2 linked regions of the Notamacropus eugenii genome follow. The protein of the gene in region 1 purifies or fractionates together with the protein of each later gene. This does not show direct contact. Links are inferred from orthologs where the notes say so. Each region holds a gene or a part of one and is shown on either strand. Other genes may lie near its edges.

Region 1 (7,240 bases):
TGACAATAACTTAAAGAAATTCAACATTAAAAGACTTCAGAATTTTGAAAAGCATGAATCAGTCCTGACTTCAGAGTACTTAAAAGTGAAGCATCCCACTTGTTGGCAAAAAGGTGTGGTGAATACCAGGTAGAAAATAAGGCCCATATTTTCAGACATGACCAATGTATTGATTCATTTTGCTTGACTGTTTTTATTTGTTATAAGTTGGGGTACTTTGGGGTTAGGGGACAGTCACTGGGGAGGGCCAGACATTTTTAAAAAATAAAAGAGCATCAATAATTTTTTTAATAAAAGATATGGACAAGAATCACATGGAATAAGAAGGTATGGATGGATTATGATCTGTATTGTGGAAAGCAATAACCACATGGAAGAGCTCATGAATTATTAAAAATGCCAAAGTATCAAAATATGTTAATTTTGTTATGCAAGCCTAAGGTTTTTTTTTTGCATTTGACTCTTGATTTTTTAAGAGTGATATACTAAGTGATATACACTTTCACCTTTATACTATATTTAAATTAGATTTCACTGCCTATCCATAACTTTGAGATTGTATGACTGGAAGATGTGGCTCCTGCCACAGTGACCCCAGATTAAGTTTTATCCAAACATAGTAAATGTGCATTTTTTTTCTGAATCATTTATGTATAATCCATGGACCAATGTCCCAAGCTCTGGACTTATATGAACCCATTTCAGTCTTGGGTGTTTCTCCAATACTTTCATTTTTTGATTCATTTTTCTCCCATTCAGTCCTTCCTCTGGGAAATCTCAGAGCATACTTTTTGTAGCTCATAACTAGGTCTCCACTGATGTGGAGATGGTTTAAGGAGATAACCTGTTACCTATACATTGAAGATAACAATGCATAGGGAATACAGACCTGCTTTTATTTCACTCCGTGGAAAAACAGCAATCAAGCAATACAATTCTCTTCCCTTTCTCATATAGCCATATGTAATAATGGGAGTTAAAGATCTTCCCTGCCCATTAATAGGCCCCAGGTGGAGCCCATATGGGAAGCTTGATTAGGGGAGACTTGTTTTGTAGCAAGGTCCATACCTTTTGTTAATTAAGGAGGCACTGAATCACCAGGGTTGTGATGTCCTCCGGCTCTGTCAAGTGTATATGTACTTTCAGGCGAGGTTTTGCTTTGGGGCTTACTCTTTGGAAGAAGGCGCATGTGCCAGAAGAGTCTCTGGGTAACCATTAAGGAGCCCCCTAGCTTTGAAAACCCAGATGTTGGTGCTTCTCTCTCTCTCTGATAACTATATATGTGTGTAATGGTCAGACAGTTGCATCTGTCTGTTGATCTGTGATGTGTATAGCTTATGGTCAGACACTTAGAAGCCCTGTTGGTCTTTAATTCTCTGTTTATATTGTCTCTTTTGGTACATGTAATTAAAGACGATTGTTGACCCCTCAAAAGTTGCTTTCCTTTTAGAAAAGCAGATCTAAGAACCTGTGCTAGCAGGCCACCTTTGATGTGTCAGGGTGCTTGCTGCTATAGCATCCTTCCTAATGATGCTACCTTGAAGGATTGGAGAATTGAAGTCAACAAGCATTTATCAAGAACCTACTATGTACCAGGCACTGTGTTAAGTGCTGGGGATGCAAGAAAGGCAAAAACAGTCCCTGCTCTCAAGGAGCTTATAATCTAATGGGGGGACAACCTGCAAATAACTATTTACAAATAAGATATAAAGTGGAAATGGTCTCAGAATGAAGGCACTAAGCTTAAGGAGGACTGGGAAAGGTTTCTTGCGGAGCTAAGACTCTGTTGCTTTTATTCAATTGTTTCACTCGTGTCTGATTTTTCTTGACCCATTTGGGATTTTCTTGGCAAAGATACTAGAGTGATTTGCCCTTTCTTTCTCCAGCTTATTTGACAGATGAGTAACTGAGGCAGAGTTAAGTGACTTACCCAGGGTCACACAGCTAGTAAGTGTCTGAGGACAGGTTTGAACTCAGGAAGACGAGTCTTCTTGACTCCAGGCCCAGCACTCTATTCATTGCACCCCTTAGCTGCCCTATAAGTCCACCCTACGACTTTAGCTATGACTTAAAGGAAGACAGGAGATGGAGGTGAGAATTCTAGGTATGGGACACTGCTAGTAAAGATGCCTGCAGTCAGGAAATGCTAGAAAGTAGTAGTGAGCCAATGGAGTTGACCTAATCATATTTTCACTTTAGGAATATCAATTTGATAGCAGAGGATGAATTAAAGTTGGGAGAGACTTGAGGCAAGGAGATGAACCAGAAAACTATTCCAATAGACCAGACATGAGCTGATGGATATAGAAGAGATGTTATAAAGGTTAAAAACAACAGGACTTGACAATTGATTGAATATGGGGTGTGAAAGAAAGGGGTAAGTTAAAGATGGGTAAGGGGTAAGTTAAACAGCAACAAATATAAAATTATGTTTGGCTTTTAGAGCTTTTCATAACCTGGCCCCTTCCTAGCTTTCCAGTCTTTTTATATTTTTGTCCCACCCACATTCACTGTGATCCAGTGACACTGCCCCCTTGCAATTCTTAACATATGACACTGATTATATAGTCTCTGCCAGCTAGCCCAGTGAACCATGGTAACACACCTAAACAAACCCGAAACTATAGAAATGAACACAAGCTGGAACTATAGTGGACAACAACAAACCAGGGGTGGGGCCGTCCCTTCCAGCGCCATCTTGTTCACCCTTCCCTGCACCAGACTCAGTTTACCTGATGTCTGTCAGTGTGGCGTCCCAGATGGTGTGGCGGTCAGTGCCCCTTACAGGAAAGTAGGAAGCCTTCTTCAGACGGTGCAGGCAAGGTGACAGTTGTGGAGTTGGAGGGAAATGCTTCTGGGCTCACTGCTAGGGAATCTCCTTCTTACATGACCTTCCTTGTTCAAATAACTCATGGTGATAGTGGACAGCAAAGTCCAGCTTTTTTGCTATCCTGTTATGGTTCTGTCTTATTTTTCTCCTTTAGATGTAGGGTCATGTGCTCAAACTTCTCCCAAAAAAAGAACTGCCCAGGTACTCCACCTTCCCTCTCTATAAGGCTAGATTCTAGAACTTGGAACTCAGAAATTCTTTTGTTGGGTGTGTAATTACACTGTACCTCTTCCCCAAGGCACCTATTAGGAGCTCCTGGGGAGATGTTTACAGTCGTAGACTCCCTTTAATCTCTAAGTCTTCTTTTAACTGTGCTGCTCTGTGATTGTCTCTAAAAAGAAGCCAGAAGGGACAAAATGGCCTGTGGTCTGTAATGAAGTCTCCCTTTCATAGGCCTAGTCATCCTCAATCATCTTGGTTCACTGAGATTCATTCATCCTAAATAAGGTGTGAATGGGTCAAGACAGTGAACATGTCCACCTTTCTATAGAGAGAATGCAGAAGTGTCAAACAAAGGCTTTAGTTGTCTGTCAGCTCATCAAGCTGACCAAGGAACTCAACTGATCAAGCCTGGAGATGTACATAGTGCTATCAGTGACCATCACGTTAGAACATTACTAAAATGAGACTCAAATAGGCTTGAAAATAATCAACTATTAGTCCTATCTCTACTTTGAAAAGTTTCCATTTAAAACTGTATTGAAGGTTATTTCTCAATGTCTCTGAATCTTGATAGATAAAAGTATTTCCCATCCCTAAATTGTCAAGTAATTATTTGGTGAATATGGGTGGCTAAGGAAGGATTAACAAATCATTCTAGTAATTAAATTAACCTTAAATTTCCTAGGGGCAGCTAAGTGGTGAAGTAGATAGATCATGTGATACTGCACAAATATGCCTCAGTTTCCTCTTCTGCAAAATGAGTTGGAGAAGGAAATGGTAAACCACCCTAGTATCTTTGCCAAGAAAACTCCAAATGGGGTCATAAAGAATCTCACACGAAACAAAAATAATCACAAAATTTGTTAGATACCCTGCTTTAAATTGGGGTTATGGTTTTCTGAATTATATGTCCATCCTGTCCAAATCTACCAATTTTTTTTAAGGCAGCTATGTGGTGTAGGATAGAGAGGACTGGACCAGGAGTCAGGATGATCTGAATTCAAATCCAGACTCAGATACTTCCTAGCTGTGTGACCCTAGGCAGGTCACTTAACCTCTGTCTGTCTCAGGTTCCTCAACTGTAAAACAGAGATTAAAATAGCACCTTCCTTCTAAGATAAATTTGATAATATTTGTAAAGCACCTTGTAAAATTTAAAATGCTAGCTATCATTTTTATTTAACCCTTTGCATTGGCTCAAATTTGACTCTTAATTTGATCCATTTCAATAGATTCCCTCTCAAAAATCTAATAATACTTTATCTGAATTAAAACCTTTTCCCATGTATTCCTACCAGTCTGGGGGAGGGGGTGCAGGGAGAGGGAGAAAAAGAAGCAGTATCATTCTTGATGTTTTTAATATCCATGGATAAAGTGTAAATTATACTTATTTTTGTGCCATTTGCATTAATGTCATCATGCTTAATATGGATTTGCATCAGTAAAGCTTGCAGGCAAAAATTATTTTTGGTTCTGACAATGAAATAATAGTTTTTCAATTTTCAACAGGAGTATTACAACTTATCTTGGTCAAAAACTTGCTAGCTAATTTTGCAGCTAACTTTTAATTTTATCTCATGAGAGTTGTAAAGAGATTAAAAAGAAAAAATAAAGATAGGATTTGATCTACAGCTATTTTTTTGTTGGGGGGAAATAGAAGAATAGGCTTCAATGCTGAATCACCTAAGTGTTTGAAATATCAACAGCAAGCAATATTTTATATTAGTTTTTGCACTGTCTATTCTAATTTCTTTACATCGAGAAAAAGAAAACAAAGAATAATAAACTTTTGAAGACACAACAAGCTCTCTTTCGAGTTTAATAAGCCCAACAGAATAGCAGCTGATGTAAATAGTCAATATTGGAGGGGCTGCAAAAAAACTCACTATAGTTAGTGGAGCTAGGAAGCTGTTCAATAATTCTGAAAAATCATTTTATTATGCTTTTTAGAAAGTGACAAAAATGTCAATGGTCTTCAACCCAGATATTCCACTACTATGCATATATTCCAAAGAGGTCAAAGGCAGGAAGAAAGGTCTCATACAAGGCAAAATGTTCAAAGCAGCATTTTTTGTGGTTGCAAAGAACTGGAAACAAAGCAGATGCTCATGGAAGGGGAAATAGCTAAACAAAATGTGTCAGTGAAGGTAATGGAATATTACTGAGACATAAGAAACAATTAACATGAAGACCAAGAAGCATGGGAAAACATAGGAAATAATGTAGAATAAAGGAAGCAGAACTAGGAAAACAACATATTTAATGAATAAAACAACATAAATGTAAGGAACAAAAGAATGAGACGTCATTATACTGACCAAGAAACTTGGATCTGAAAAAGATAAGAAAAGCAGCTTCCTTCCCTTTGCAGAATATTGCATATATACTGTCTGACACAGCTGAAATGTTCTTTGGTTTTATTAAAGGGACATTTTTCATCTTTATTTTTTAGTACAAGGAATGGCTCTCCAATACTTAGAAATAACAGTGATATCAAAAATAAAAGATATTAATAATTTTCTTTGTAAGAAATGGAAGAAAAAGATATTTGGGTCTGCAATGTAGGACTTTTAACTACCCTTTTGCAATTTTCCTTACAGCCCGTTTTTATCCATCTCTTGTGTTCCTTTCTCTGGACTCTATGTGTAGTGTCCTTTGGGGCTGCTAAGGAAATAAGGATGTTGGAATCAGGCCTGCTGATTAGGATAGAAATCCTTCAGAGTTCCTTTCTTTGACCCTTAGAGAATTAGTTCCAACCCAGGACTGATTGAGTCAAAACTTGACAGACAAGACAGTCATTCCATCACTGGGTAGGAGGAAGAGAAGAACTGAGAGGAAAAGAAGTAAACTGAGAGACACACCTTCCAGCACATGAGGTGGGCTACATGGGGAGGCAGGACACCTACCACTAATGGCTGATACAGGAAAGAGACTATCTGGTTAAGTTATTGACCATAGACATGAAGCATATTCTGGGTTTGTTGAAACTGTACAAATTACTGAGCCCAACACTGGCAATTCCTCATATTTGATTTCCAAATCTCCATTTCTTTCTTTCTTTCTTTCTTTTTTTTTTGGTAATTTAAAAAATTTTAAACTTGAATAAAAATTAGAAAAGAAAAAAGAAAAAACTTAAATATAAAATAAGAAAAGAAAAAAATGTTACCATGTGCACAGCAGAACATGAGAGGATTCAAAATATAAAGCCATAAATTTCATTTCAAGAAAGTCTTTATACTGTATTCAGAGCTGTCCATCTTTTTTTTTTACTTCCTTGTAGGTTTTATTTTGTTCTCTGCTGTGTACTTTTTATTTTGTTCTTTTTCCCCCTTTCTTCCCTCCCCTCCCCCAAGAAGGCTACAATTAAGCATGGATACACACACATACATGTGAGCACATGCACACATATACATATGTACATGCACATGCATACATGCACAAATTCATACATATACACCTATATACACAAAAATATACAGACATACGTAATACACTTACATACACATTCAAAGATATCTATAATCATACACATATACATTCATATGCATCTAAGACCATACTAGTTTGTGCATTTCCATTTCTTGAGTTCGTTTTATTTCTCTTTTAAGGTTTTTTTCCCTAAGACAAATAAGGCTAATCTCTATCTTTCTGACTTGTGTTTCATTACTGAAATATAGCAAAAAAAAGAGAAGATAGGAAATATGTTTTTTTTCAATTGTAACATATTCATCAAGGCTATTTTGGAGGTCTTCAAGTTATAGATGAGAAAATTATTGATTCCACTTTAGAGATTTTCAAGTTATAGATGAGGAAATTATTGATTCCACTTTACAAATAACCCAGAGCAAAGAAAGGAAACCTAGCACCAGATATTTCTAGGCAAAATGAGTCAGCATTTTCAATGGGCAAAGGTTGTGGTGCACTGGGCCTGATAACAAAGGTTATCAACAAAACTCAGTCATTTTTCCTTCTTATTGTCTTCCCACAGCTATTTCGAAAGGAAAACCATTCTTACAGAGGAAGAGGCTGGAAGAAAAATCCATGACAGTGTGGAGAAAACAAGGGCAAGGCTGGGAAAGACAGATTCTGCCCCTATAAACAAGAGTAGGAGCAAATAAGAGGATTGACGACTCCTGCTCACTTGCTTAGCAAAGCACTACCACTCTCCAGTACCACTGCTAGATGTGT
Region 2 (7,344 bases), on another chromosome or scaffold:
AACCACCACACAAGTCAGTAAATACAAATCATATAAATACAGTAAATAAGGAAAAACATAAAGTACTTTCAAAAGGGAGATGGTGCTGATAACTGGGGAGATCTCACTGAGCAGCCTCAGGGAGAAGGCGCCACTAGTGGTTCCAAGACTCTGAGGTGAGTACATCTCCCCTCTTCTCTCAGAAATTTCCTCCTGGAAAAGTCCTGCTTCTATTAGATTATAACCTCATTGAGGACAGAGGTTATCTCTTGCTTCTTTTTGTAAACCTTAGTGCTTAGTAAGGTGCAATCAATTAATCAACATTAAGCTCATCTTCCAGAGTTCAAATCCAGCTGCAGACACTTACTGGCTGTGTGACCCTGGGCAAGTCACTTAAACCCTATTTGCCTCAGTTTCCTCATCTGTAAAATGAGTTGGAGAAGGAAATAGCAAACTGATCCAGCATCTTTGCCACAAAAACCCCAAATGGGTTTTTGAGTCAGACATGACTGACAAAGACTGAACAACAACAACATTGTAGGTGCTCGATAAATGTTGGTTGATTCCTTTCAGCTGCACTTCGTGGCTGCTTAGAAATGAGTCCAGCAGTTCTAAGTTACCCCCTCCCCCCACTCCTCGGCCCCCTTCCATCTTCAGCCGTTGAGCCACAAACTTCTGCTTTTTCCACTCCCAACCCCCCAGTGGCCCAGGACGAAGGGATAGGGGGGCTCGGGCCACTGAGGATGTTGGTGCCAACAGTCAATAAAACTGTGGGAGACAAAGAAGGCAGGTCTTCTTGAAGCGTAGCCTGTGACTTTGTGATACCTCACGTGGTATGGAACAAGCCTTGGCATGACAGTCATTGGCCTTGGGTTCAAATTCCAGCCCTGATTCTACTGGCTTCTGTTTAATCTTCACAACCACCCAGTGAGACAGGTGCTATTATTATGTCCATCTTTACAGATGAGGACATTGAGGCTGATATTTAAGGGTCACACACACAGCTATTAAGTGTCTGAGGTCACTTTGAACTTAGAAATTCCCAAGCCTGTGTTCTACTTTTATCTATCCACTCTAGCCAACCCTGGGCAAATCACTTTATTTTGATTAGCTTCCATTTCTCCATCTGTAAAGTGGGGATAAATTGAGTGCTGGCCCTGGAGCCAGGAGAACCTGAGTTCAAATCTGGTCTCAGACACTTGCTAGTTGTGTGACCCTGGGCAAGTCACTTCACCCAGTTTGCCTCAGTTTCCTCATTTCTAAAATGAGATGGAGAAGGAAATGGCAAACTACTGCAGTATCTCTGCCAAGAAAACCCCAAAGGAGGTCAAGGAAAGTCAGACACAACTGAAACAACTCATCAACAAAGAGGGGATAACTGACTGCTACCTCAGTGGGTGTGGGGGTAAGGATCAAATGGGATAATGTATATAAGGTGCTTTCTAGATTGCAATGTGCTATAAAGTTGTTTATTATTATTATTATTATTATTAAAGACTAAGTGACCTGCCCCCTTCCCTTTCAGGCAGAGGGAAGGACTAAGTAGATAAAGCTAAGGGAAAATTGTTTGAGGCCCCCAGTTAAGGGACCGCCCCAAGGTCACAAGGCTAGTAGAACAGTAACTTGGTAGCTAGAGTAGCCAGAGGCTTGGAGAGATTACGTAAGCATGCTTTAAAGGGAAGAAAAGCAATCATTCCTGGTTCTTCCCCTTCATCCCCTCACCCCCAAAGCCTGGGTAGGTAAGGTCTGAAATCATGACATCACACACTGAATACAAATTCCACATTTGAGGAGCCAAGGCTGATCCCTCCGGACAGAAAGAGTAATGAAGAAGGGGTCCTAGTTCCAGCCCAGCTCACCCAAGCTGATCTCAAGCTTCTTCCCCAGCCCCCAAACCACAAAGCTTTTGCATTCATATCAGAACTGAAGGAAGAAGGGGGGAGGAGAAGCCGCCTCCAGCCCTGGGTAGTTCCATTTCTGTCCAGCTGACCCAGCAAGTTGGGGAACACCGGAGCCCCAAGGGAGCAGCTGGAGCCCTTGGGCCTGGAGGGAGAGGCCTGCCAGGCTTTGGTCCCTCTCTGGCGGGGTGGGCAGCCAGGCTGGGCTCTGCTGCTCCCGGGATCGGGGAGTCCTCCTCCCTCAACCTCCGCCCCCACAGGAACTCGGCCAACCATTCCAGGAAGAATTCCCGGTCTTCGGGGCCAGCAGGGAGGTCAGGGAAGTGAAGGCCGGCAGTGGGGAAGGAGGGGGTGATCAGAGAAGGGAGCAGCCAGCCACAGCTGGGACAGCCCAGAGTCAGAGTACTGGTCAAAGGACAGGAGCCACTGGGGGCCTTCCCGCCTTCTCTCTCCTCTAGACCCTCGAGATGATGGATCGCCACTCTCTTCCCCCTCCCTTTTCCTCCTGACCCACCTCCCAGTCCTTCTCCCATTCGAGGCCTCCCTCACTCACCATCTCTGCCTCCCGTCCAGCTGGGGCCCCTCAACAGCTGGGACAACAGCAGCAAAGGACTGGCTCGGGTACTTTTCTCCCGGGGTGCGCTCAACCTACTTCCTGCTTATTCCAACTTTCAGCCCGCCCCAAAGGCTGAGCTCCGCTGCTGCGTCGGTCGGGTCTACACGGCCGGTCCCAGACTGGGCGGCTCTCGAGGCACACCTGGATCCACAGGTTACATGAAGGAGGAGGCGGGGCTGGCCACCTTGGAGCCTCCCCCAGCCTTTCCTCTAGCAGGGCTGGAGCTTACTTAAAAGACTTAGGGCTTCCTGAGCCCCTCCAAGACTCGGAAGCGCACATCCAAGGCTCCCCAGAATGTCCTAAGAACCTGAGGGAACGAATCCCGAGTCGGCTACCTCAGCGGGGAAGACAGCTCCTGCCGCCCCCCCACCCCCTCCACTTTCCCCCCAGGCTTTCCAGGCTGTTCTCACCCAACTCTCACCACCCAGAAAAGAACAGAGATCACTTTTCATGGAAACATTCGCAAGTTAGAGCCGGAAGGGATGTTAATAGCCACAGGCCAACTTCTTAAAACCCAGAGAAGGACTAGACTCAGAACCCACCGTCTTCTCTCACTTTCTACTCTTTAATCAAAACTACAATTCTGGCAGATTAATATGTGAATGTGGTAGGCTGACATCTGGCCCAAGAAGATAGAAAATTGGCCTTGGAAGACCTGGGTTGAAATTCGGCCTCTAACACCCACTGTCTGCTTGACTGTGGGTAAATCATTTATTCCTTTGGAGCCCCAGGTTCGAAAGATGGAGTTCCCCTGAAGTTGAATGGGAAAATCCTTTTAGCTTTATTTTCATTAGCCTCTAACTAAATTTAAAGTATCCTTCAAATATTTAAAACATTCTTCTAAGAGATCCATAGATTTTGCCAACACATGTGAAGGGGCCCAAGACACACGAAAAGGGGAAGGACCCTCTGTGTCAAGGTTCTAAACAAAAAATAAGTTGCTCATCTGCACCTGCGGCAGGAATTACAGTCCTCTGATGAAATAGTACAAATTCAACATTTATTAAGCACCTACTACATGCCAAACAGCCAGGGTTGGGGAACCTTTAGCCTTGAGGCCACCTGTGGTCCTCTTGGTCCTCAAGTTCAACCCTTTGACTGAATCCAAACTTCACAGAAACAAATTTATAAACAAATTTTCAGCCTTGAGGCTGCAGGTTCCCCACCCCTGGAACCATTTATTAAGTCCCTGCTGTGGGCTAAGCATTGGAGTTGCAAAAACAAAAGGAAAACAGAAACTGAGTTCTAGGAGTTCATATTGGAATGGGATGGGTTTAGCAAAACAGAGAGGAAAGAGACGTTTTGAGGTCGATTTGGGCTGGACAGCAGTAGTGTCTGGGGGGAATCAAGAAAAATACCATGGGAAAGATGAGGATTCCAAAAGTCAGGACGTATTAGAGTGTTAGAACAGCAAGGACTCCTTGAGGTCGATGAATCCAGTTCTCACATTCAAGGTCACCCAGACAGTGGCAGAGCAAAAGCATAGATTCTGACCAAAACAAAAAAAATCAAATCCAAAATTAGAAACTAACTAGGTTGTTTGTCCAAGAAATGTTGCTATGCCTTGCTCTGCTTGAGGTACGGATCTTAAAAAAATGAAGGCACCCTTATTTTTAGTGCAAGGTAGCTGGTAAAAATAAAAACCCTGGATTAGGGAGTTCAGAGACCTGGGCTGGGCAATTTCGGGCATGTTGCTTCACCTGTGTGCCTCAGTTTCTTCCTGTGGCAAAATGTTTAGAGGTTGAGGCTAGATTGTTAGTATCATAGTGCTCCAAGACCACCTAGTCAAACCCCCTCATTTAAAGATGAGGAAACTGAAATAACCTCTAAGATAACTTTTAGTACTGAAATTGTGATTTCTGTTTCTGCAGTCTGAAGCTGGGGTTTTGTTGGTTTTTTTGGGAGATGAGAGTAAGGGGCATTGGCTGAGAAGTTAGAGATACCTCCAATGGAGGGAGGGTTGCCCTGTGAGGGAGGACAGCTGCCAAGCCAAAGGTTAAGACAAGGACTGGAGAACCAGAAAGCTGGGCAGCTGCCCACACAGTGAGCCTGATGCAGCTGGAAATGGGACAGATAAAGGGAGAGGGTCTGCTCTTTGCTGGACACACCATGCTCTCTCTTTCTCTCTGTCTCTCCCTCTCTTTTTCTGTCTCTGAGCTTAGAGCAGCAGCCCCCCTAAAAGGAAGATGACAGTAATTCTGTACCTCACTCCAGAATTACACCAGGTGACAAGAAATCCTGTCAGAGGCACCTTCAGAGAGTCCCCAGTGGCCTGGAGATAGAGGCCTCAAGGGAAGGATTTTTTTCCCACCCCTGGCTCCCTGCCAAAGGAAAAGGCGATTGCTGGTCTTCCTAAATTTTATCTTGGTGGGAGAACATAAAAGGTGTCCTATCTCAGAAGACAGAAAAAGTTCTGGGATGATTTCTGCAGCTGAGAAAAACGCATTCCAGCCTGATGCTAGGATTAATTAGCTTTTTCCTTTTGGTTGTCAGGAGACCCAGATAGGAGAAGGTGATGGCTGGATATGCCAACCTGCCTTCAGTTAGAATGAATGTGGTCACGCCACACTGTAGGACGTTTGACAGCTTAGTTTAGAGGGGGCAGGGTGTGACAGGAAATGGCGGCTCTACCCAGCTGGAGAGCCAGCAAGCAAGAGAAGGGGAATGCCAAGCATACCGAGGAGGGATGTGAGTAGAGGCCAAAGACTGCCATTGACACTCTGGCATGTGTCCCAGGCAAGAGGACACTTGGCCTGGTCCCAAAGCTCCCTACATCCAGGGCCTGTCCTGACTATATTGTCACCCTCATCTTCCTCCAGATGGACACTGTGCAAATGTAATTATAACTCTGGAAGTGAAAACCTGGGCCCCTCAGAGGCTAAAGTGCTAAGGCAGATGATAATGACTTTGGCTCAAGTTATAAGAGACTTGCTAATTAAATGTACAGAGACCTCATTACAATAACAGGGCAGAGGGCAGTAAAGGGGAGTCAATATTTTCATTGCTTAGTAGGGATTATTAACTCATGTCCCACTGAACTTGGTTTAAAAAATATTTTGACAAATGTCTTTTAATATAGTCAGTTTCATCATAATACTGTTTTGAAAAACTGATCACCCTGAGAACGAGTCCATAGGCTTGGCTAGATTGATTGCAAAGAGGGCCAAGACATTCTTGGAGACTAAGAACTCTTGGAGAGTGTGCATTTTGAACATGGTCCTAGCTCATGGTCAAGGAAGTTATCTTCCTCTAAAAGAAAGATCACTTTAGGACATTTGAGGAGGGAAATAAAGACTCCTGGTGGGTTGGGGGTGGGGAAGTGAAGTTAGTGAGAGAAGGCGTGACAACTCACAGAAGCAACCAGGAGGATTCTGGGGTAAATGGTAGGTTTGGTTCCCAGGAACACAAAGGAAACAGGTCTAGATAAAACATAGGCTTAGGAAATAGAATCTGACTAAATTTTGCCCCTCTCTTCTCCTCTATTCCCTCTCTTCCTACATCCATTTTTTTCAAGAAATTAGAAAAAGAAAGAAAAAAAACTTTTTGTAACAAATATGCAAACAAATTTTCAAACTGATCATGGCTGAAAATGTATTTTTCAGAAGGTGGGTAGCACATTTCACCACTCATTCTTGGCTGGTTGTATTGATCAGAGATCTAAAGTTTTTCAAAGTTTGTTTTAATAGTCTTTTTGTTATTGTGTAAACTGTCACACTGGTAGGATCTGATCCAGAGATGTCCCTCTGACCTGGTCTTCCATGGACACCAGGGCCTTCTAATGGTCCAGATTAATCAAGGGCTTTGGTATGGGATCCCCAGGTTAATCCCTTGAAGGGATAGGAACCTCATCCCAGCCCCCAAAGTAGCCTTCCTCCTTCCTTGTTTGAGATGACACAGAGATAAACTAGAGTAGGGGTGGGAAACCTGCAGCCTTGAACATGTGGCCCTCTAGGACCTAGAGTGCTGCCTTTTGACCGAATCCAAACTTCACAAAACAAACCCTTCCATTATGTGTTTCCTCATCCCTGGCCTAGAATCTAGGCCCCAGACCCTCCTAGAACGGACCAGGTAAGCACTTGCTTCAGCAGCTTTCACCCCCAAAATAAATTCTGTTGGTTTTTTTTTTCATGACTGGCTTATTCATAGGCTAATAGGAGCATAGATTTAGAGCTGGAAATGACCTTGGAGCTCATCTCATTTTAAAGATAAGGAAACTGAGGGATTGGGCTGCACTCCTGACTCTCTGAATCATGCCAAAGAAATCACTTCTGGAAATTCACTCTCCCCCTGGACTTCTCACACTGGAGGGACTTTTGGCTCACAACTTCTCTGTCTTTGGCTCTTCCATTTGGAGAAGGATGGCTAAGGCAGTTATGCCTTTGATTCTCTCCAGGTTGCAATCTTGAATCTTTAGACTTTCTTTGCCATTCTTTACCCTGCCCCCAACTTGAGGGTACCTGCCCCTCCAACCCTTTACAGTTTTGTTTTGTTTTTTTACATAGGGTCTTCCCCCAATACATTATAAACTCCTTAAGAACAGGATGAATTGTCTTTCTGCCTTTCTTTGCATTCCTGGATTGGCATGTAGGAAGCTCTTGTTTACTTCACTTGATGACCAAGGATGTTGACTTACCCAAAGGTACTACAGGTAGTAAGTGTGGGATGGGCAGTGTGAGGTAGGAGCAAGATCTTAACTCCTTCTTTCATGCTGGTTAATCTAGTTATACCTTAAAAGGCATTGAGATCATCACTGAAATTTGGCTGGCTCAGAGGCCTAAAGGCTCATATTGATCCTCATCACCTGAGTACAAAGCAGTAAGGACCTTGGTGGGGAACAGGAGGATGGGTCTG

The links.
Region 2: the proteins of STX11 (region 1) and VAMP8 purify together in Homo sapiens (co-immunoprecipitation; 3 studies listed by BioGRID and IntAct, counting the BioPlex papers as one, with this or other methods). This does not show direct contact. The link is inferred for Notamacropus eugenii from reciprocal best matches to the Homo sapiens genes STX11 and VAMP8.

The regions. Positions count from the first base shown.
Region 1 is NC_092873.1:232,385,420-232,392,659, reverse strand, and holds the start of STX11 (syntaxin-11), read right to left. Parts: upstream 3,011-7,240; 5' UTR 2,733-3,010; intron 1-2,732. UniProt on the Homo sapiens protein: SNARE that acts to regulate protein transport between late endosomes and the trans-Golgi network.
Region 2 is NC_092872.1:726,536,939-726,544,282, forward strand, and holds the start of VAMP8 (vesicle-associated membrane protein 8), read right to left. Parts: upstream 3,020-7,344; 5' UTR 2,434-3,019; coding exon 2,431-2,433; intron 1-2,430. UniProt on the Homo sapiens protein: SNAREs, soluble N-ethylmaleimide-sensitive factor-attachment protein receptors, are essential proteins for fusion of cellular membranes.